Coturnix japonica: one gene and its partner. The protein of the gene in region 2 purifies or fractionates together with the protein of the main gene of each other region. This does not show direct contact. Links are inferred from orthologs where the notes say so. Each region holds a gene or a part of one and is shown on either strand. Other genes may lie near its edges.

Region 1 (10,929 bases), on a different chromosome or scaffold from region 2:
CACTATCATGCGAGCTGATTGATTCATAAAGCAATTCATTGAGGTCTCAGAATGAAAAAACCTGCTAGAGAGCAGTAGTTCAATGGATGTCTTTTGACAGGTAAAATATATAATATTAAAGACCTTCTGAGGTGACAGAGAACTTGCTCTGCACTTCAAGTACTCCCAGTATCGACCTATGTATGATTTATATGTACAATACCTACAACTTTAACATATTTTTCAAAGTTAATTATTTTAAAAGGTTAAATACCTGAGAACTACTGTCTTTACTTGTGTGCATTTCCACATCAAATGTTATCTGTCCATCTTCTTGAGGTGAAGGGCTAAAGAAAAATGGATTTCATTATGTCACTTTTGTCACACTATACTGTCAGCTACAGAATAATTAGCATTAATGGCATCTCAGCTGAATCACTTCCACATGCACTTCTGCACACTATTCAAATGAGTAACAGACTACAGTCACAATCACTGGAACAAGAATGTCTTCAAGAAACCTTTGCTTTGCTCTTTTATATTTTAAACAATCCCACCTCTTTCAACAGGACTGACTGCCACTGCACAGGATCTGGACTGGAAATACTGAACATAGAGGTAAGAAGATGCCTATTTTCTATTAAAGCAAGAGTTCTGTTTTAAATATTGTATGAAGTGCCTTCAAAGATCGCCTACTATAGCCTGTAATTAAATCAGGCCTAACTAATTTTAAGTATATTTTATTACTGATCAGCTACTTAATGTGTACAGTAGGCAAGACAGTTCAACAAACAACCATCATTCAGAAAATCCAAAGGAGACATAAGCAGATGGATATGTAAAATTATCTATAGAAACCAGTCACAGACCTACAAATCTGGCCTAAAGCCTTCAATGGAAAGGCACAGTGAAGAACTAAGAATACCATACTGCTCACATGTGCCTCGAGGGATTATATTGCCAGGCAAAGATATTCTGCCTTCATAGGAAAAACAGCAGAATATTGAAAGCAGGAAGTACAAATTCCAAGTGTCCTTTTTTCTGCCAAGTCCAGTGATGCGTTTTATTATGTTTGACTGAAAACAAGGATATATATATATATCACATTATTACTAATGAACCAGTAAAGCTAATATTTCATACCCTAAATGGCTTATGACAATGTTCACTTACCTGTCACAGTGGGAACTACCTCTTGAACTGCTCTGTCCTGATTCATGCTGGGCATCCAGAAGGATTTTCTCCATGTCTCCATTATGGATGGAGGATGATGATGGGACATGCTCCAGCCCTCCGTTTTTCCCATTGCCATTATCATTGCTATTGCCATTGCCATTCATCTGCAACTCCACCCAGGAACCTGTAGGGCAAGACAGACATCATTTCATTAAAAGCAGCGAAACTAAAACCAAGTAAAGTTTATCAACTACACACAGCAAAAGAGCCCTGAACATGGTGAATTCAGATAACACCGCTGCTGGATAAAGCTCAAAAACACGTACTGAAGACAAGGCTGATGTGTTTCTTCCTGTTGCACAAAAACCACCCCATAATGTTATGTTGCTTCCTACCTCTGGAGCTAGGCACACTAACTGCCCCCCATCTTCCCAGGTGTTAATACTTTAACAGACCCCATTTCTCTCTATAGTCTGAAGTTTCCATTATCTATGTGGCACTCAATTATACTAATCACTCCCCTTCCCTGTTCTGCTCCTAATATCCTCTTTCAAAGGTTATTCTATTCTCCTAGCCCTGCTTCCATAGAACTCCCCAACCTACAAATTTATACCATCCTTCTTCCTTCCACTTCCAAAGGCCTTCATCTCCAAACCAGCCTCTGCCTTCACATTTACTTATGTTGAAGTCATACAAGAAAAAAGATCCCAAACATGAATGTATCCCCAGAACCACAACGCAGCTGAGGGTTGATGCACCTCTGGGCCCATCAAGTCTGGCCCAGCAGGGCCACCCAGAGCTGCTGAATATCTATATAAGATCTCACACCTCTCTGGGCAACCCATGCTCTCAATAAGGAAATGCTTCCTGAGATTGAGATAGAACTTCTTGTGTTCCTGTTGCACTTTAATGTGCAGGTTAAATAAACAAAAAACCAGCGTTTACCACCATGTTCCCAAGAGCCGTGTTTCAATTTGTACCCTACCACTCAATGTCCTGAGGGGTAGAACAGATCTCCACCCTTCATTCTGTTCCAAATATTTAAATACATTCCCTATCCAACTGCAACTCCAACCATCTCATTAAGATATAAACCAAGAATCAGATGACTGCACAGCCCACAGAAGACCAACTGGCCTGACAGAGCTGACTACTGATAGATTTCCTTTTGCAGTTATCACCTCAATCACTAAATTCCACACTGCATTTATCTATGCTGTAGAATCCTGTCATTTACCTTCATTCTAAGGGTCTGTGTAAGAAAATATCTGCACTTAGGACCTTCTGATGTTTCATTCTGTCAATAAAGCTGTAAGGTCTATAGGCCTTTCTGTTAAACCCTTTTCAATCACGTTCATAACCCTATAAGTGATTTTGCATTTGATGGAGCCACCATTTCAAAGACTTGATTAAAAACTGAGCTGCGAACACAATGAACTACTTGAAACATCATCAGAACATAAAGGACACATCATTCATTCTATCGTCTATAAAGTTCCTATGTCCACCCAAAGAGATCACAGCAGTTTCCTGAACATAAATGCTGTTTCTATTTAATGCTGTACATAAATAATGTGAGAAGATCCTGATTAGGGAGAGCAAAGATCTCTGATTTCTCACAAGTATAACATCTTCAGTGCAACATTATTTCCCATCATCAGAGAGATAAGGATTTCACACATATAACACCAGGCTTCCATGAAATGTAATTGACTCTATCTGAAGGTAAGTGGAAAATAAGGCCTAAAAATACCAACAAAATAGCTGAAATGACTCCTTAAAATTACCTGAGATGGTTTGAAACTTCAATAGTGATTTCTTGTCTTATGAAATGCATCTTTAATGGCTTCATTTGTTTTTACAGCCTAAGCTTTGGCTCTGTTAGTGACACAGGAAGCGTATGACCAAGTGAGTTCACAGATTATCAACCTGTTTTTGTGAACCTGGAATAGTTTATCCATGCTATCAGCTCCTAACACTGGATATTATGCTCTGCTGAGTCCCGGTGGTTTACAGCCTGTTCTCCCCCATCTGTATTCACAAGCAAGGAATCTGGGTGTGCTCAGAGCTTACACACAACCACACAGCGTACACCAACCCTAGGAGATATCGGGCTGCTTCAACCAGCCCTCCAAAGCAATGGGTTTAATGAGGGTTTTATTGGTGAGTGGTGTTCAACCCGGACTGACAAAACTCCTTGTTTATCTAAAATATGTTGCAGCCACACCAGGAAGAGCAGCCCAATTAACTGTGAGTAAAGAGTCCCAACACGCTGAGCGGTGGTTTACATGACCAGCAGCACGTTCCCTGTCTGACCTCACTTTTAATGAATCAAAATACACTCACAGAAGCCTAATCTGACATCAAGCTACAACACGTTACATCCTCCCACTGGGATCTACAGCAGGTTTATGAGCAGCCAGCAAACTTTGTAGAGCTAAACAGAGGGATGGCAGCCTCTGCTTGGGGGCAGCAGCACAAGGAAATACTGCAGAGCAACCAGCCGTGATGTTAATCACCCACATCAGAGTGTTTAATTTACTGTATATCCCATCTGACTGTTAAGCTGGAGATATGGCAGAACTCAGCATTCTCACCTGAGCCTTCAATGTAACCTCCTGAGTTTATTTCCCTTCTGAAATCATGGGATTTCTCCCAAATTATGTGAATTCTGGCTATGTTCTATTGCAAATGAAGAGAGAAACCAACAGCAGTAACTCTGAGAGCCATTTTATACCAGGTCTCTGCTTAATGTGAATTGCACTACCAACCTATTGCACTTCATAAGCAGTTACATCTGCTGACTTCTTTAAGAGTTAAGCTGACATATTTTCTTGCCCAGGCAGAAATAATGAAATTAATTAAACTGTAGGATATTCGCTCCCTATTTCTATTACACTGCAGCCAATTCAGCAGGACCCCAATGCAATCAGTGGGAAGCCACAGCGTGCTGACCAGTCCAGGATCAGCATTTAACAAGGGCTTAAGCAGAAGCATTAAGTCGGTTCATAGGCAAACCCTCCTAAATCCTGTTGCAAAACTGAAGCACCAACAGGCTGGCACCTGGCGTGCAGCCACTATGCACACATAGGCTTCTATTAAATAGAGAAATCCAGAGTGTTTTCAGGTATATGCATGTGCAGAATTAAAAGCAGTGAACAGCTCATTAGTCTGAGCTATGATCAATCTGAATCAACTAAGAAGTCCAACATTAACAAGAGGGGAATAAAGCAAGCTGGTCATGCTCCCATAGGGGAAATTATTAAGCAAGTTTTCCATGACAGAGCTAGATGGGTTCCTACCTGAGGTGGGACTGATTGCTTGTCAATATGTAACAGAGCTCTATAATAATTAAAATGGAGGAAGCATCCCAAAGCATATAAGCTTTTTTTGTTTTCTTTTTGAACCCAACAAAGCAAAGCTTCAGTTATCAGTTTTATTCCCAGGTCTTCAATTCAAAGTGCTTGGAGATCTCTGAATGAAAGGCCTTAAACACGCACAAATGACACACAGAGCAAAATGAATAAGTGTCTAAACTCATTAGCCTGAAAAGGGTCACTGAAAAGCTTATATAATGGCAGCAAATGCACCTATAACACCAAAGCATTGTGGAATGGCTTGAACATCTGAAAGCGGGACTAAATCCATGTGCAGCTGATTGGTTGCACTTGTTTTGTTCACCCAGCACAGATTACCGAGCATTTCCTCTCATACCTTGTGCTCACCACCTCCAGTAATCACATTGATTTTGTTAAGCCTTTATGCACTGACCCAGCAGCAAGATCTACGTGGGCAGATCCAGCCTGGGCTTACAGCATTCATCCCTTGTGGTTCCCATCTTACAGCTTTGCAGAGTAACTTAATGTACCAGCAGAAAACAGCGTGAAAATACTTAAGTACAGAAGTGAAGATGGGAATTTATAAATGAAGCAATGAGTTTGAATCACAGAATCATAGAATGGCCTGGGTTGAAAAGGATGACAGTGATCAGCTGCTTCCAACCCACTGTTATATGCAGGGTCACCAACCAGCAGCCCAGGCTGCCCAGAGCCACATCCAGCCTGGCCTTGAATGCCTGCAGGGATGGGGCATCCACAGCCTCCTTATCACAAGGTGTAACATTACTGTGATGGGCCAGCCGCCGTTTATTCCTTAATGCAATTCACAGCGAGTTACAAGAACTCAACCATCCCTCGCGTTTCACTGTCAGTTTAACTTCATCATAAACCCCAAAGGGATGGTTAATCATTGACATCATTTATTCACCTCTTCACCTGGGGTATCCTTAACAATTACAACCAGACACACATCGAAGCAGCTGTTTCAAACATGGGATAAGTGTCTGTCAGGTGAGCACCGGAGCCCCCATGGATGCTCCTTGTGAGCGTTATTCAGGGAACAAAAGGATGCAGGGAGCAGCTGACACAGATGCCGGATATAGAGGAAAATAGCTCACGTCAGCGGTATCGACTCAGCCACTGAATAAACTCATTCCCACACTCACGCTCCTCCCCCTTATCGTGCTGCATCCCCATCTTAGCTGGTAACACCAACCGTTGAATAAACTCAGCTCTAAACCACAACATAAACCCCCTCAACCCCAGTTTCACCCCATACACCTCAGCCCTTCCATATCAGCCCAGGCCTTGAGTCCCACAGCTCATGGGGGCACCCAATCTCTCCTTCCCCACTTCTAAAGCTCAGCTCCCCCAGCCCAACCCCACTCCCCCTCATTACAGAATGACCCGGGTTGGAAGGGACCTCAAGGATCATGTAGTTCCAACCCCCCTGCCTAGCAGGGCCACCAAACATACACATTTACTAGATCAGGTTGCCCAGGAGACCGCATAGATCCCCATAGAGACCCCATAGACCGCACAGATCCCCATAGAGACCCCATAGACACCTCATAGATCCCCATAGATCCTCATAGAGACCTCATAGATCCCCATAGAGACCCCACAGATCCCCACAGAGACCCCATAGACAGCACAATCCCCATAGAGACCCCATAGACCGCACAGATCCCCATAGAGACCCCATAGACACCTCATAGATCCCCACAGATCCCCATAGAGACCCCATAGATCCCCATAGAGACCCCATAGACCCCCATAGAGACCCCATAGACCCCCATAGAGACCCCTTAGAGACCCCATAGATCCCCAAGATAGACCCCACAGATCAGATTGCCCAGGGCCCTGTCCAACCTGGCCCTGAACACCTCCATGGACGGGGCATCCACAACCTCCCTGGGCAGCCTGTTCCAGGGCCTAACCACTCTCCTAGTGAAGAACTTCCCCCTAACATCCAACCTAAATCTTCCCTCTTTTAACTTAAAACCATTTCCCCGTGTCCTGCTATTGTCAGCCCTTTCCAAGAGTTTAAGGGAAGAGTAAGTTCCCTTCAGGTATTGAAAGGCTGCAATGAGGTCACCCCACAACCTTCTCTTCTCCAGGCTGAACAAACCCAACTCCCTCAGCCTGTCCTCATAGGGGAGGTGCTCTCCCCCTCACGCATCCCCCCCCCCCGGCCCAACCCACTCACTATTGAGGCCCGGTTCGGTTTGCGTCCCTTCAGCCGGTGGGTTGTTGTTATTGTTGTGTTGCGGCGGCTCCTGAGGGCTGGACATGGCGGCTGAGGAGACGGAGGAGCCGCTGGGGTTGGGACAACAACAACAAACCTGGACTCCGCTCCGGGCCCAGCCGCCCCGCCTCCTCGCAATGCGCATGCGCGAGATGCGCTGTTTCCACCCTTCCACCGCCGCGCATGCGCAGACAGCCCCGGGGCGCGTGCAGCGCAGCATGGCGCCCGCCGCCCCCGCGCATGCGCAGTCGGAGCGCCGCCGTGGGGTGGGCGGGAAGAGCGTTCTGTGAGGGGGAAGCCGCGCTGTGTGAGGGGTGCGGGCCTCAGGCATAGAGTGAATGGAAAACAGCGCTGTCACACCTCTAACCCCTCACTGATCGTTTAAAAGAGATAAGTGATTGCATTCCCCGCTATTCCAAGCCTTTTTGGATCGTGTTCTACCATTCAACGCTATCAGCTTACAGTACTTCAGCCACACAGGGCCTAGCTGTGCTTCCTATCCCCATGAAGGTCTGAGGTATTTCCTCATCTCTGAGCACAGTTACTGTGAGGTAAGGAGCCAAACCTATAAAGCCAAACCTGTACAGCCAAACCTATACAGCCAAAGTGTGATTCTCCAACCCCCCCCACACACACTCAGCCATCTTGATTTTGCCTCAAATAATTCCAATAGTAGTTCCACGAAACATAATGAGGTCTCCCGGAATGAATTAACTGAGTTTTTAAAGCTAAAAGGAATGTGTCTGAAATAGCAGTGCTGAACAGCCATGTAAAGCTCACCTCTAAGGCCTAGCCTAAGTCAGCAACGTGCAGCTCGGTTCACTTTAATGGTGGCAGAGTTAAGAGAGAACAGGGCACCTATATAACAAAACTGGACTTGTTCTTACCTATACAAAGTGAAATTGCACCCATTTCCTCTCAATATGAAAATGAGAGACAACCTCAGGCTATTTATGCACCTACTGTTGTGCTGTGAACAAGAATAACACTGAGTTTCCAGGGAAAATAGACCTGAAGATGCAATGAAATACTTAAAATGCAGTGAAATACAGGTGCTGACATGTACCTTACCTTGCTGAGGTTAATTCAGTTACAAGAGTAACTTCTGCATCAATTATGTATTCTAAGCAGTTAACATGAAACAACCATATATAGAACAGACGGTTCTTCCAAATCACTTGACTTTTAAGATAACAGTCAATATCATCTTGAATATTGAGCATATAAATGCCTGAAGGCAGACCCAGTTCCCATAGATACTTTGTATTGCAGATAGAAGAAATTTACTAGGCTTATTCTCCTTCTAATCTCCTTTCTCATCAGGACTCTCTTGGAGAATGATCCAGCAAGACTGACTTCACCGCAGATGATTTAACTCGCCTTCATTTCTCAATACATCGGTTTTACGACCTTCATTCCATGTGACATCACCTCAACTCCAAGGTCAGTTCTGAGGCCTAAAGTATCTCACATGGAACACTGTAACCAATCCCATCCCACACAAATATACACAGCGTTTTACTTCCCAACAGCACTAATGGGCCCTTCACATAAAACCATTCCCATCAGCAGCCTTGAGAATATAATTAGGGGCAGGGGATCATTGTTTTGTGTGATGGTATCGCTGCTGCTATCAGAGACTGAAACAAATTCAAACAGACCCATTTACATTAATGTTTTCCCTATCTCCTCATTACTCAGCAAAGATGTTTTATCAGGGCTTTATCAGGACTAGGGTGTGTACAACTCTCATAGTTATCCCAGTTTGGATTATTAGCAAATATTTTTCTTCATTTTCTCATCTATGCTACGTTGAATAGCATCCAAATACTGATGTGTGGACATTATAAAGCTGCCTTACACGATGCTGCTCTTTCCTACCAAACGGACTGTATATATGCTTACGTATCCATACTAAATCTTGTAAAAGACCTGGAAAAGGTGGCAGCAATTTAGGCATTCTAATAAAACATCCCTCCACAGGTAGGAAGGCTATGGATGTGTCCTAGATTAGAGCCAGAAAAATAAGCTACTTGTGATGCTGAACAGAGCCCCATCCCACTTCGCAATCCTAACAATCCCAGGTTAACATCAAGCATCATTTGTCATCCCCATCATTCAGGAAGCGTTTGCCATAATGCTCGTGGCATGAATATTTATCAGCAAAGTGGGACTATTAACATTTCTGAGTCAGACAAATTAATCGAGATTACAGAGTGAGTCAATGCAGAGCCAGAAATAGCATTCAGAAGTCCTGACTTTCAGACCTGTTCTCTAACCACTACACGGGTTCCTTCAGGCTGTTGAATGACGTAATTCATGCTTATAAACTAATTGAATCCTCAGATGGAAAATGCTATGACAGTAGTTAAGGTGGAGGGACAAAAAGCCACGTGATCATAGAAGAGGAACAGCGGCTGTAAACATCTGGGAAAGGTCTTTTGTGCAAGAAAAAGGGTTTTTTTTACAGAAAGCCTATCAGTCAATTCAAGTCAAACACATCAAGCTACCTGATTGTCTCCTAAGAGCTGCCAAACTAAGTGCAGTTTTATGCTCCCAGCTCCAAGGTGTTTTTTGTCCACCCACCTCTTTGGTAACATTTTGCCTCCTAGTGGAGGATACAAATATAGAAACACCTGCTTTTTTCTCAAATACAGATGTATTGTTTGCAAAAGGCAGAGATTGTTAGAATTCAAAGGTAGACCGTACAGAAAATCCATGCTGCTTCTTGGTTCTGAGCTGTATCGCACTAGAAAGAAGCACCTGCTGTTTCTATTCCAGCCACTACTGTGACTTCTACCGTTAAGTCCTTTCTCTGCAAACCCAAACCTTCTATACCAAGTTAAATAAGGCATTTGCTGTGAGCGAACAATAGAAACTATTCAAGACACCGGTAGTCATTACACAGCAACCTCAGTCCCAGCACACCTCTCCCCACCTCAATTCTCTACATCAATAGTCCAGCTTGCAACTGCTAATTATGTGGGAAAGGGCAAAAGGAAACACCTCAGTCTAAGTCAGAAGTTATGGCGGGAATGCCAGAGATGAAGACACAAAATCCAGTGCACAGGAAACTACTGCTTCTAGCTATGTCACCCCTCTGACTGCCTAATTCCAGAGCAGGGAACAATAAATCAGCCTTCCAACAGGCAGCAGCCACTCTCCAGGAGGACAAAGGTACCAATATCTGCTCATCAACTCCAGCATTTCCAAGGTAGGCTGAGAAAAAAAGGAGAAATATATTTAAATTTAGGACAACTGAGTGGAATCGACAGCCCTGCCCCAACAGAACATTGAGAAAGAAGTAGGATGTTGCCACATTCAGCACATCTGATGGCGTTAGCTACTCCTCACCAAAAAAGCAGCAAAGGGACCTCAGCCACAGAGCTTGTCTGCACCTCAGCCCTGTACCAGTCAGATAATAACAGGCTGCAAATGAATTTGCTGGCAGTATCACTGGTCTGAAGTAAGGTTGCCGCTCTGCAAATATTAACTACCAAAGTGGCAGCTGTGAGTTATGTGGTAGTATCAAAGTCTTCAAGATGGACAGTAGGGAAGGGATCAGAACTTCCGTGTTCAGTTCAGTATTTAAGGGTTGAGAACTGAACAGCTGCACTGGTTGCACTGGGAACGGAGAGAAAGCACTAGAACAGAGCAGCTGCTTTCATCTAACTGTACATGATGGAGGAGGGCAGGATTGCCTTAACACCCACCCACCCTGTCTGGCAAGCTCTCCAGGCTAAGACCCAGAAATAACAACACAGAACCTAGCAAGAAGGTGTACTACTCAACATGCAGTAAGAAGGATGAGTAATTTCAAAAACGCCTGTAAGTAGAGAAAAGGGATGGGAAGAAAGATAAAAAGCAACCTGACAAGATGTATTCTATGCATACTTTTATTAATAAAATATAAGATTTACAGCATATGTCAATGGACAGTGTGTTTCGAGAAGTATCTAGTTGGATAGCATGACACCAAAGTCAGTAGCTGGTTTTGTTGAGGATAGGTTAAACCTCAAGCGACATCATGCCAGAGATCACCGCTACTGCTTGAAAACAAAAGTATTTCCCAAGACTAGCTTTAAAAGTCCTGAAACCCAACAAGCACAGCTGAGGTCCAAGAGGCAGTTCTGCTTGAGTTAGTATTGCTAGAAGGCTGCACGTTCATCTATGTGAAATCTACCTGTT
Region 2 (10,433 bases):
AAAGAATGGAGAAAGCAGGTCTTAACCAGAGTTTGAGATTTTGTCAGCATTTACTTCACTGAGGAAATAAGGAAAAAAAAATAAAGAAAAAAAAGAAGAAAAAATTAGAGGAGAACAAAAGTCTTGTAAAAGATTTAGGCAGTCTTGTTTCATTGAGGGGGCTGAAAGAATTCCCGGTCTATGTCAGACATGCTTCTTCTGATTACACTGTAGGGGAAAAAAGCTGTCTGTTTATTTATTATTTATATATTTTATTTCTTCTTCTTTCTTTTTTTTTTTTTTTTTTTTTTTTTTTTGACCCTACCATTAAAAGTAAAGGAAGTTTTAAAGATTTTTCTATAAAGAGTTTATAAAAATGTGTAGACCCCTCCCAGCCTTAGAAGTAAAACCATGTTTTTACTTTCTCTGTAGTTCTTCCATTAGCATTCCATAGGTAGAATGCACTGCAGTTGTTTTTGCACTTCTTATTACAGTATAGCCAGTATATCATAGCCATCTTCTGTATTTGTAAAAAGCTTAAGCATTTCTTTTATATTCTGGACTACTTGACAGTGAAACTGCAGTGAGTAAATGGTCCAAGACTGAAAGTGCATCTTTCACGACTGAGCCAAGTGTAGCACAGACAGAAGGGGCTTTTTTGTTTGAAAGGATATTAATCTCAGGATGTCTGTTGGATGCTTTCCTTATCATACCAACATCAGAAATAATTTGCACTTCTGGCTGGATCATGAATGCAAAAAGCCCTGAAAAAATGGCAGCAGGATTCAGCCTCACTAGGTGTATTACTCTTCATACCAGTATTCAATTTCTCCACAGTTTATTCAAGCCAGCTGCACTCTGGCAACTTGCAAGTCAGAATGTACGTGTGATGTTTAAGGTCTTCACAAAGGCAGGTAGGATGGAAATTAGTCCAGTATCAGCTATTTAATTGCTGTATACACAGCACAGAAATGTGTTCCAGGCCAGCTGTGTTACCGAATGAAAGACTTATTCATGTTTGGACAGAACTCTCCTGTCTCGTGTGGAATGAGTTAGGATTTCAAAAGGTAATCTCTCTCTTCTTGTCCAAAGCAGGATCATCTCTGTTGATGTCATTTCTGACATGCTCGTCTAGCCTGTTCTTAAAGACTTCAGAGACTCTTCAGGGTGTCTCCTTCCAGTTTCTGAGGCTTAGGACTAACTGTTGTGCCCTAAAATATTTCTGTAATTTGTTCTACAAGGCTGTGTTTAACAGCAGTATCATGTCAGCCTTCTGTGCAGCTCGATGCCAGTCTTCTCTCTTCAAGCAATTTGTGCATGGCTTCACCTGCATGCAGTTTCATCATCTGAAAACCATTCCTGGAAATGGATAATAGGATTCTATTTGGCTGCTTAGAACTGCTCTTCCTGCTGTTTGTGCCATCTTATGAAAATTGACTGTTCACCAGTTATTGCTTTGATTGGATGGCAGAAGAAATTTGGACTACTGAGGCATCTACTGTTTTCCTTCTGCAGTTTCAGCATGCATGAGGGAGAGCAGGTACAAAGCCAGCTCTTACCTTTGCTGCAGGGAATCCTTAGAAAGTCTTCAAACTATACATATCTTGGCTACTAAGCTCACAAATGAAGTGTTATGTGGGGAGTCTTTGATTTGACAGCCTCTGCTTGGCTGAGAAAGTGAAATTGGATTCTCTCTAGTTGAAGCTCGCTGGTCCAGAATTTAGGTGACCTCTGCTCCTCTTATAATGAGCTCTGACATCTGAGGTTTGGCCTGTCTTACAGCTTCAAGGTCAGGTGATTGCCTCACTCTTCTCTGCTTACATAGGAGTGTAATCACTCATCTTGTGTTCAAGACAAGTCAGAGAGATGAACTGTACAGACAGATGGCTTGAAACGGTCATGTTATTACAATGGTAGTTCTTTATATGCAGTGCGTATGGATTCTGTGAGCTGCCATTCTTACCTGCTATTTTGATGTCCTTTACCACCTGTATTCACAACTGACTGGGGCTCAACTAAGCATATTCAAAGAAAGGTGGTTGATATATATATATATATTTTTTATTTTTTTTTCTTTTTCTTTTTTTCTTTTGACATACGCAGAAACTGCCTCCAGTTACTGAAGAACAGACACAGCTTCTGAAGAAAGTCTGTTTTCTTGTGTGGAGGCATGCATGCACTCCAGAAGGGGAATTAACCTGCAATGAGTATAGCTACTGTCGAGTAACTTACTGTTTACTCTTGGGCTAGATTTGGCAGGCTGTGCTATGGTATGCTGTGGTGTTCTACCACAATGCTTTTTTATTACTCACATTTCTACTGCTTATCTTCTTCCTGTTGTTCTTTCGCTGTTTTGTTTTGTTTAAGGTAATACTTTAGCTAATACAAATTGTGAAGAGACCTCTAAAATGTGGACTCAGTGCATATAATAAAGGAAGGACTCCGCTGGACTAAAGTATTCTGAGAGAGTCACCAAATTCCCGTTCAAGTTAACACATCAGGTTACTTTTGTGATCAAGCCCACTATGAATATTGATCTCCTTACCTATTTCACTCTTCCCTGAAGGAGTGTCATTATGGAATAGATCTTGCATTCTACAGTCTGCTCAGAGTATCTGTATGCTTCTGAATTACGTCAATTAAGGAAAAGTATTGCTGCTTTCTGACCTTTCAGGCCATTGTTTAAATTCCATTGTAGAAACTATTGCAGGAAAAAAAAACCAACCGTGGTCAAATACATTGAGTTATTCAGTTTTATTGTAAAGTCAGAAAACCTGCTTAGCATTGGATGTTAAGAGACTGGTGTATTTAGCTCTGATACTTAAGATTTATAGAGAGATGTGAGGATTTATTTAATTTGGAAGTCTGAATGGGTTCTAAAGCTCATAGCTTTCAGGGAAGTAAAGAATAAAGGATGTCTCACTCCATTGGAGTTGCTCGTTTATTCAGTTTTAATGCTCCAAATAAAGTGCTTACTTAATACGTACTTTAGTTAAAACATATTGGATATATACACATTAACTAGCTTTAAAGCGCTCCTAAGTGTTACCTCTTTTATAATGACTTCTTAATGCTTTTATGTTTAATTCCCTAGTCTACCCTTCTCTTTAAAAACGTAAATGAAAGTCAATTGTGCAAGCAGACAGTTGCTTTGTAAGACCTCCGCAAAGATATCTGTGGGGAAGGCTTGTTTGTACCCTCAACCTTCAGGCTCCTTTTGGGAAATCAAATCTCGGAAGGCCAGGCTGGCAGCTGAAGTTCCATCCGTGTTAAGTGTTGGGTGTTTCTAATTGCTCCCTTGAGGTGCTTAAATTAGATGTCTGGAATGGTCTCCATGAATACTCTACCCACTGTCTCTGTTCTGCATCTGGCAGTGTTTCAGTGCAAGGAATCATGTAGTTCTTCACAGTACCATAAGAAAAGATAATGTTCCTGCTGCATTTCATTGGGATATAATGACTGAAAAAATTCAGTGAAGCATTTTACCATAAAGTCTGTGAAAACAAGCAACTTTATATTAGCACATATAGATAGATAGATTTTATAGTTTGCATGTCTACGAATTATTTGCTGGTATTCCTGTAGGAGTTCTAAGCATTAGCAATTCATCTTGTCCTTTGTATACTGCTTATTTTTTTGTGTATGTGAGACACTGTTGTGTATCCTATATACATCCACAGACTTTAGTTATTGATACGTTACGGAACTTACTGCAGTTTTCAGGCTTACAGAAAATGAATGAAGTGGTAGATGTTTGAAGTATGATGCACAGATATTTCTGTTTTGAATCCCAGGCTGTGTCCTTCTTTGCTCTTGAGTGTATTTCAAGCCACAAAACAGAATATGGCTACAGACAATGCAGAGGAGTCTTTTCTCTGTCTTAGAAACACAAATAAAATACCACGAAGTTTCTCTTGTCATAGAACAGAATAGCCACGTATTTAACATTTTGTAAGATACATCTGCGTTCCAGTATAATTTCAGGCTGAGTAATGTGCAGTACTTTCTGAAAAGAATGGCTGTGATAAATGGCAGAAACATGACTGTAAAGTACACATTATATCTGTTTCAGCCTGCATGCTGGTAGTGACAGGTGCTCAATGGTTGTCAGCATCCCTGTCAGCACGGAGACTCCTTTGACATTAAAGTCACCAGCTCGGTCCCAATGCTGTGCTGCTCTATTGGCAGTTCCATCAGGCTACGGCTGATGGGAGAATGTCAGAGCTCTGCTGTTCTGCTGGTGTGTCACCAGCCCTCTGTGTTTTTGGTCTGGCCTCGCCTGCTGTTTGAACTTGCCACACTTATTCTTCTGTATCTTTCCTGGGGGAAATGAGCTGATAGGTCATGAGTGTATAGGTATCTTCAGGGCAATTCAAAACCACATCCAAAGTGACTTGTGTAAAGGTTTGTAATGATTACTGTTACTTTAAGCCAATCAATGGGCAGATTACCTGGGGACTCATTAAGTGGCATTTGTGGTGTCTGTAACAGAGTTTTGAGCTGTGTTTCAGGAAATGCAGTGACAGCCTTTAATGCTTAATTGACCTCTTCTCTTTGTTTCACGTTCCATATTTCCTTCTGATGCGTTCTCTGGTGGCAGCAAACAGCCCTGCTCAGTATCCTGAACTTCTGCTCAGAGCTTCAACACCTCAGCTTGGGCAGCTGCGTCATGGTGAGTAGCTAGAGTGCTGTGTTTCATAGCAGGCCAACACCTGTGTGTGACACTACAGTCATAAACACAAGAATGTTTTCAACGAAAGCTCTTTGAGTCATGTAGACATCCTGGGCACACACACACTGAATTAAAGGCAGAAAATACGGGCCTTGGAAATCCTGCACAGAGCTCATCTAAACTTTGTTGAATCTGCATGTCAGTCAGGGTTGTATGCACTGGGACTTAACTTTCTGTCTCTGGTGATAAATACATCTGGTAACTCATCAGGTAAACTTCCCTGCAGTTTCAGAAGTGACAAAGCAGAATTGACTCAGCCTTCCCAACTTTGACTCATGGCCAGAGGAGAAAGGCAGCGCATTATTTTTCCAACAACTCTAGTCTTCCTATGATTTTTGATAGTGTATTTCATTCCTTCTACCTGTGGAGTTGGGGTACTTTGAGCCCCTTTGGCTTGTCTGAGGTAAATAGTAAAGCTTCCATAATGAAGTGTAGCAGATGGTCAGCCTAGAATGGAAACTAGTGTCCTCTTTAATGCACATACACTTAGAGTTGCCATTCCTGTTGTCATAAATACAATTCTAATAATCTCTTGAAGAAAAGGAGAAGGTTTTCAAAGAAAATAAACTTCTAACTGCATTTTCACTGATCCTCGGTGTCAAGTGAATATAAAATCAGGTATGTTTGGGAGTAAATAGGAACTTTATTTTTGTTTTATGTAGGAGTAGACCTCAATGTACAGAGAGTAATTCTTGGAGCTCTTTAGAAGCAATGAATGCTTAAATGTTTCTGTAGATGTGTTAACAAGTGAATCTTGAAACACCTGTGTGTGTCTGGAAGGGCAGTATAGATGACAAAGTGTTTATTTTCCTTGCAGATTGAAGACTATGATCTTATAGCAAGCATGATGGGAGCAAAGTGCAAAAAGCTCCGCAGTCTGGATCTGTGGAGATGTAAAAACATAACTGAAAATGGAATAGCAGAGTTGGCTTCAGGCTGCCAGCTTTTGGAAGAACTTGATCTCGGCTGGTGCCCCACGTTACAGAGCAGTACAGGCTGCTTCACAAACCTCGCACGTAAACTTCCGAACTTGCAAAAGCTCTTTCTCACGGCCAACAGGTCTGTGTGTGACACAGACATCGAAGAGCTTGCAGCTAACTGTGCTCATTTACGACAGCTAGATATATTGGGTAAGAAAATATGGGAATACTGGTATATATTTTACTGTTCTCAGAAGCCTGTGAGTTATAAAAGAAATCCATGTGGTCAACCTTCTGCCTTATAGATGTATTTGTATATATTTATGTATTTGTATGAAAGTATGGCTTAGCTCATGAGAAAATGGGAGAAAAGTATTAACTGCAACGGTTTTCTGACATGTAAATTCTTTGGATTCTCCTGACTGTGTAATTTGATTGTTTAGTATTAAACAATCTTAAGCTGAGAATCGCGCGGATTTGTTCCAGTAACTTTTAGTTTCATTATATTAGTACATTTAATGGACATCTTTTGATTTTGCTCTCAGAAGATCCAGTCTCTTCTTCTTGTTCCTGCTTTTGTTTTATTTCTATGAAGTGTGACTAAGTATATTTATAGTTAATAAACAGATTCCTGCTTTTGCACAGTGCAGGTACACCAAGCAGCATTGACAATCTTTCTCACTTTTAACAGGAATTGAATTTGTCTTTCAAGAGAAAAAATGTAATTAATAACAAAACTTTAAATGGAATTATCGCTGAGGTGAGAAAGAAGTGATGAGGTGCAGAGAATGCATCAAATCTTAGATTTCTAATTCTCTGCGGTGTCAATAGCTAAAAATATTATGGGAAATCCAAATTAAATATACATTGGACTCTTTGGGAGTTGTAGTTTTATTCTTTCTGCAGTGGAATGTGAGGTTATCTTTAAAAGGAACAGTCTGTGACGATGATGGTAGCCTTGACGTTGATGTAGGGAAAATTTCTCCATCTTCATCTTGACTTATTTTCACAGGGTTGGTTGAAAAACAAAGATTTAAATTATGAAAGATAAAGTAGCTGCATTGCCTATTTTCAGTATTAAATAACTTCTGAGAAAGTAGTACATTTGGGTTGGAAGTGATGCTCCAGAGAAACAGTGCCTTCTACTCAAAATGTTACAGGCAAACTTAAGGCTTACCAGTATTTCTCAGTACAAAATTTACCATATGGCTGCAAGTTGTCACTACAGTATAGATAGTAAATGCTCTTTTACCATGACATAGTTTTACTCGTCTATAATTGAGAAAGCCACCTTCTCTCCAACATGGAAGGAGAATGAACAGATGGAAACTTACATCCACTTAGTAAATATTATTTTGGATTAATGCATAAGTTTTCAGGTGGTAATGTATGTTTTTGCCTGTGGTTAAGGGAATCTGTTTTGTAGCAAGACTATCAGGGATATACATTTCACTGTTCAGACATGAAACGTTTCCAAAAGGCATAGTGAATACAGTCTTTCATAAACATGTATGTTCTCCTGACCACCCACATACATGCTATTACAATGGAATTGTGTCTGCCCACAAATTGGTCTGACCTTTTCACTGTACCAAAGGCTGTGGAATGAATAGCTCAGTTGTGTTAGGCCTGCAGATAAGTCTGCTAGTTCTGCTGCCTCTCTGCCAGCACTGAAGGGGTATTGCCACGCTTCTCCTTTAACAACTGAATTCACATTTGAATTCAGTTTAACATCTCGTTGGTGTTTAGTAGAAAAATCTGAACATGGAGAGGAATTCTGTTCCATCCCCTAGGTGCCTACTGGCACGACTGGGTCAAGTGGGTTTGTAGTCAGCCTTTCCTGATAAACCTGCGTGTTGTGTTCAGCAGGGTGCTCTCTAGAGGATACCTAGTTGAATTATCCACAAGTTGTTACCAAAAATCTCTCTACTCCTACAATTTGCTTTCTTCCTTCAGAGGAATGCTTAGCAGAATACAACCTTTTGTTCCTCAGCTATAAGCAATCAATCAGTACAAGGTGATACAGTGTGTGTGAAGGAGCAACCCAGCTATTTTGGAAGCAGTAGGAAAACAACAAAGAAATGCCTGGCTTATACATGCATGTATTGAGGGTGTACAAGCATTGCTGCTAGGTTAGAGGTGCATGCAGCAGGGGAACTTACATTAAAAATTATTGGCCCACATGAAGCATTGTTTGATGGGTAGCTCTGTTTGAATTGTGTGTAAAGCATACTAAAGAAAGTTACTTAAAGCTCTGTTAAAGCCATGGTTTGGTTTCGTATCCACTGTATATATCATACAGTTTGGAAGATGTATGATGGAAGTACACCATACCTGATGTACTTCAAGTGTGTTTCTTGGGTTTTCTAGTTCTGATATTTCTTTTACCCATTACGTACTGAGCTGCCCGTTTACGAGTATCTTCTGCTTCTCTGCCTGCATCTTCTCCTGATAGACCAATAGACATGGTGAACTGTATTATTTCCCCTGCTTTTTGTTCACTTGAGGAATGTAGAGTGATCCAGCTATGACTGTCTGACATTTTTATATTGTTGCAGTACATTGTCCAGTGTTATAAAACTTGTAACAGAAACCTCATGTCAAGACCACCTAAATTGGCAATGCCAATAGCTTTAAATGTATGCTGTATCAGCTGCTTAGTTGCATTGCTGTAAGTAGTAGCTGCTATCGAGGCTATCTAACTATCAACTATGTAATTGAATAGCATTTTGTAGAAGCATTTGGATTTTTAATTTTAAAAGCTGAGATGGTCAAACAAAACTAGTTTTAAATGAAGATGCTAATGCAGTAGCAATTTTAGGCTTGGTAGAAGGAAGGTAGTGTAGTTTTTTTCTTGGAGTTTCAGCTGAAACGTTAGAGCAGTTTCTTCTGATGGGACAGTGATACTGTGGTGCAATTATGATTAAGGGATGTAAATAAAGAATATAACAAAATTTATGTGTGTGCTAATGGAACTGCTGTATCAACCACCTGACCACTGTGATGACAGTCACTGTGGTGACTGAAGGTGGAGTCACAAGTATACCAAAAATTTGATGATTTTTTTTTGCAATCTTGAAACTTGTTCTTACATTCCTTTATCAATACAGAAAGCACTCCTGCCTGTTCCTGCTGTTCGCAGGACTGTGCATAGCCAATGTGTCAAAATGCATAAAATTATTTGCTATAACTTGAGCCAGCGTTGCTCTGTGCCCTTCCTTGGTCAGCCTAGATAGTGTCAATCACACAGCAGTGTTTGGTTGTTGCTGAACAATGGTTATGCATCTGGGGCCAGGCTGAGTTGCTTGATGTGGAAGAGCCACCACCACAATAGTGTGACAGCAGTGGGGTGGGCTGCAAAATGAGCTGTGCCAGACCTTGGGTCGGATGTACCTGCAGTAAGGCGTGGGTCTCCTGTCAGTCCTGTGGCCTGTCTGCTGGGTCTGTGTGGGTGTCTGCGTGGCCCCAAGGGAGCACCAGGCACTTCACTTCAGGCAACTGAGTCATACTTCAATGACTTGTCAGCTGAATCATGTTCTGCACTGACTGGATTTCAGTCAGCTACAGTGGATGTGTGGATGCATTGTTGCTGATTATTATTTTTTTTCTTCTAAAAGTAACGTTATTGTATCTGTTGTAGTTTCTACGGAAATAAACAGGAGGAATGACTTTCAGATGTAAGAGAACAGTGGTAGTCTTTTTGAGATCTGTTCCTACATGATGTGGGTGTAATACATATAGCCGCTCCAGAGTCCTAGAAGCCTTGCTGATGTATTTGGGATTGGAAGAGCCTATAATAGCGTGTGTTGTGCCAGTCATTGCAGCCAGCAGGAAAGTCACAAGAACATGAGTGTCGCACAGTATTTTCCTCAGGCCAAAGCCTGGGATCTGGTCACTGGGTCTTGTAGCCTTGGGTACTTTGGTCAGCTTCTGTAACTAGAAATTTCTCTTGAAGTTGTAAAGTTTCTTCTAAGAAGCAAACAATCTAATTGAATAGCTGAGTTAGGAAAACACAGCAGGCTTCTTAAAGGCAAACATTGTACAAAGACTGCCACTGAGAAGTTCTTCATTTGAAATCTAATTGAAATAATGTAAACAAACATTGTACTACTAGCATTCTTTTCGTGCAGTATTAGCAGCTTTAAAACAAACAACTGTTCTTTTTTAACTTTGCATTTTTTTTTCTTTCTCTTTTTTTTTGTTTTCAAACAGGGACGAGGATGGTAAGCCCAGCTTCTTTAAGAAAACTGCTGGAGTCTTGTAAAGATCTCTCTTTACTCGATGTGTCCTTCTGTTCACAGATCGATAACAGAGTTGTCCTAGAACTGAATGCCAACTTTCCTAATGTGTTCATAAAGAAGAGTTTCACCCAGTGACTCGCTCCATATGCTGCTATGGAATTCCTTAAACAGTTATTTCCTGTGAATTTGTGCTGATTTTTTTAAGAAGAATTCCTATGAAGTAGTGGATTGTATTAATTATCTGCACAAATGGGTAAAATACATTTTAAATTTAAATATATTATGCATTTCTTAGAGCTGATATTGTACCTAATAATTGTTTTACTCTGTTAATCGGTGGCACTGCATGTTTTTAAATGCTAGCCATATGTATGGCTTTAATGGCAAGAAAATGAGAAACACCTTACATGTCCCTTGATAGGGTGTTATACCCAGCAAACTATGTTAATATCTAGATAAAAGAAAACGTTGAGCATTTACCAGTAAGAAAAAATATGGGTGCTTCCTTTTTTATTTATGTGTATATGTGTATATAAATGTATGCAGATATACATGCATGCA

What was found.
Region 1: the proteins of FBXL4 (region 2) and BNIP3L purify together in Homo sapiens (affinity purification with western blotting; 4 studies listed by BioGRID, with this or other methods). This does not show direct contact. The link is inferred for Coturnix japonica from reciprocal best matches to the Homo sapiens genes FBXL4 and BNIP3L.

Annotation. Positions count from the first base shown.
Region 1 is NC_029537.1:1,741,444-1,752,372, forward strand, and holds the start of BNIP3L (BCL2/adenovirus E1B 19 kDa protein-interacting protein 3-like), read right to left. Parts: upstream 6,893-10,929; 5' UTR 6,887-6,892; coding exon 6,703-6,886; intron 1,340-6,702; coding exon 1,153-1,339; intron 327-1,152; coding exon 254-326; intron 1-253.
Region 2 is NC_029518.1:65,224,927-65,235,359, forward strand, and holds part of FBXL4 (F-box/LRR-repeat protein 4), read left to right. Parts: intron 1-4,579; coding exon 4,580-4,651; intron 4,652-5,528; coding exon 5,529-5,841; intron 5,842-9,843; coding exon 9,844-10,007; 3' UTR 10,008-10,433. UniProt on the Homo sapiens protein: Substrate-recognition component of the mitochondria-localized SCF-FBXL4 ubiquitin E3 ligase complex that plays a role in the restriction of mitophagy by controlling the degradation of BNIP3 and NIX mitophagy receptors.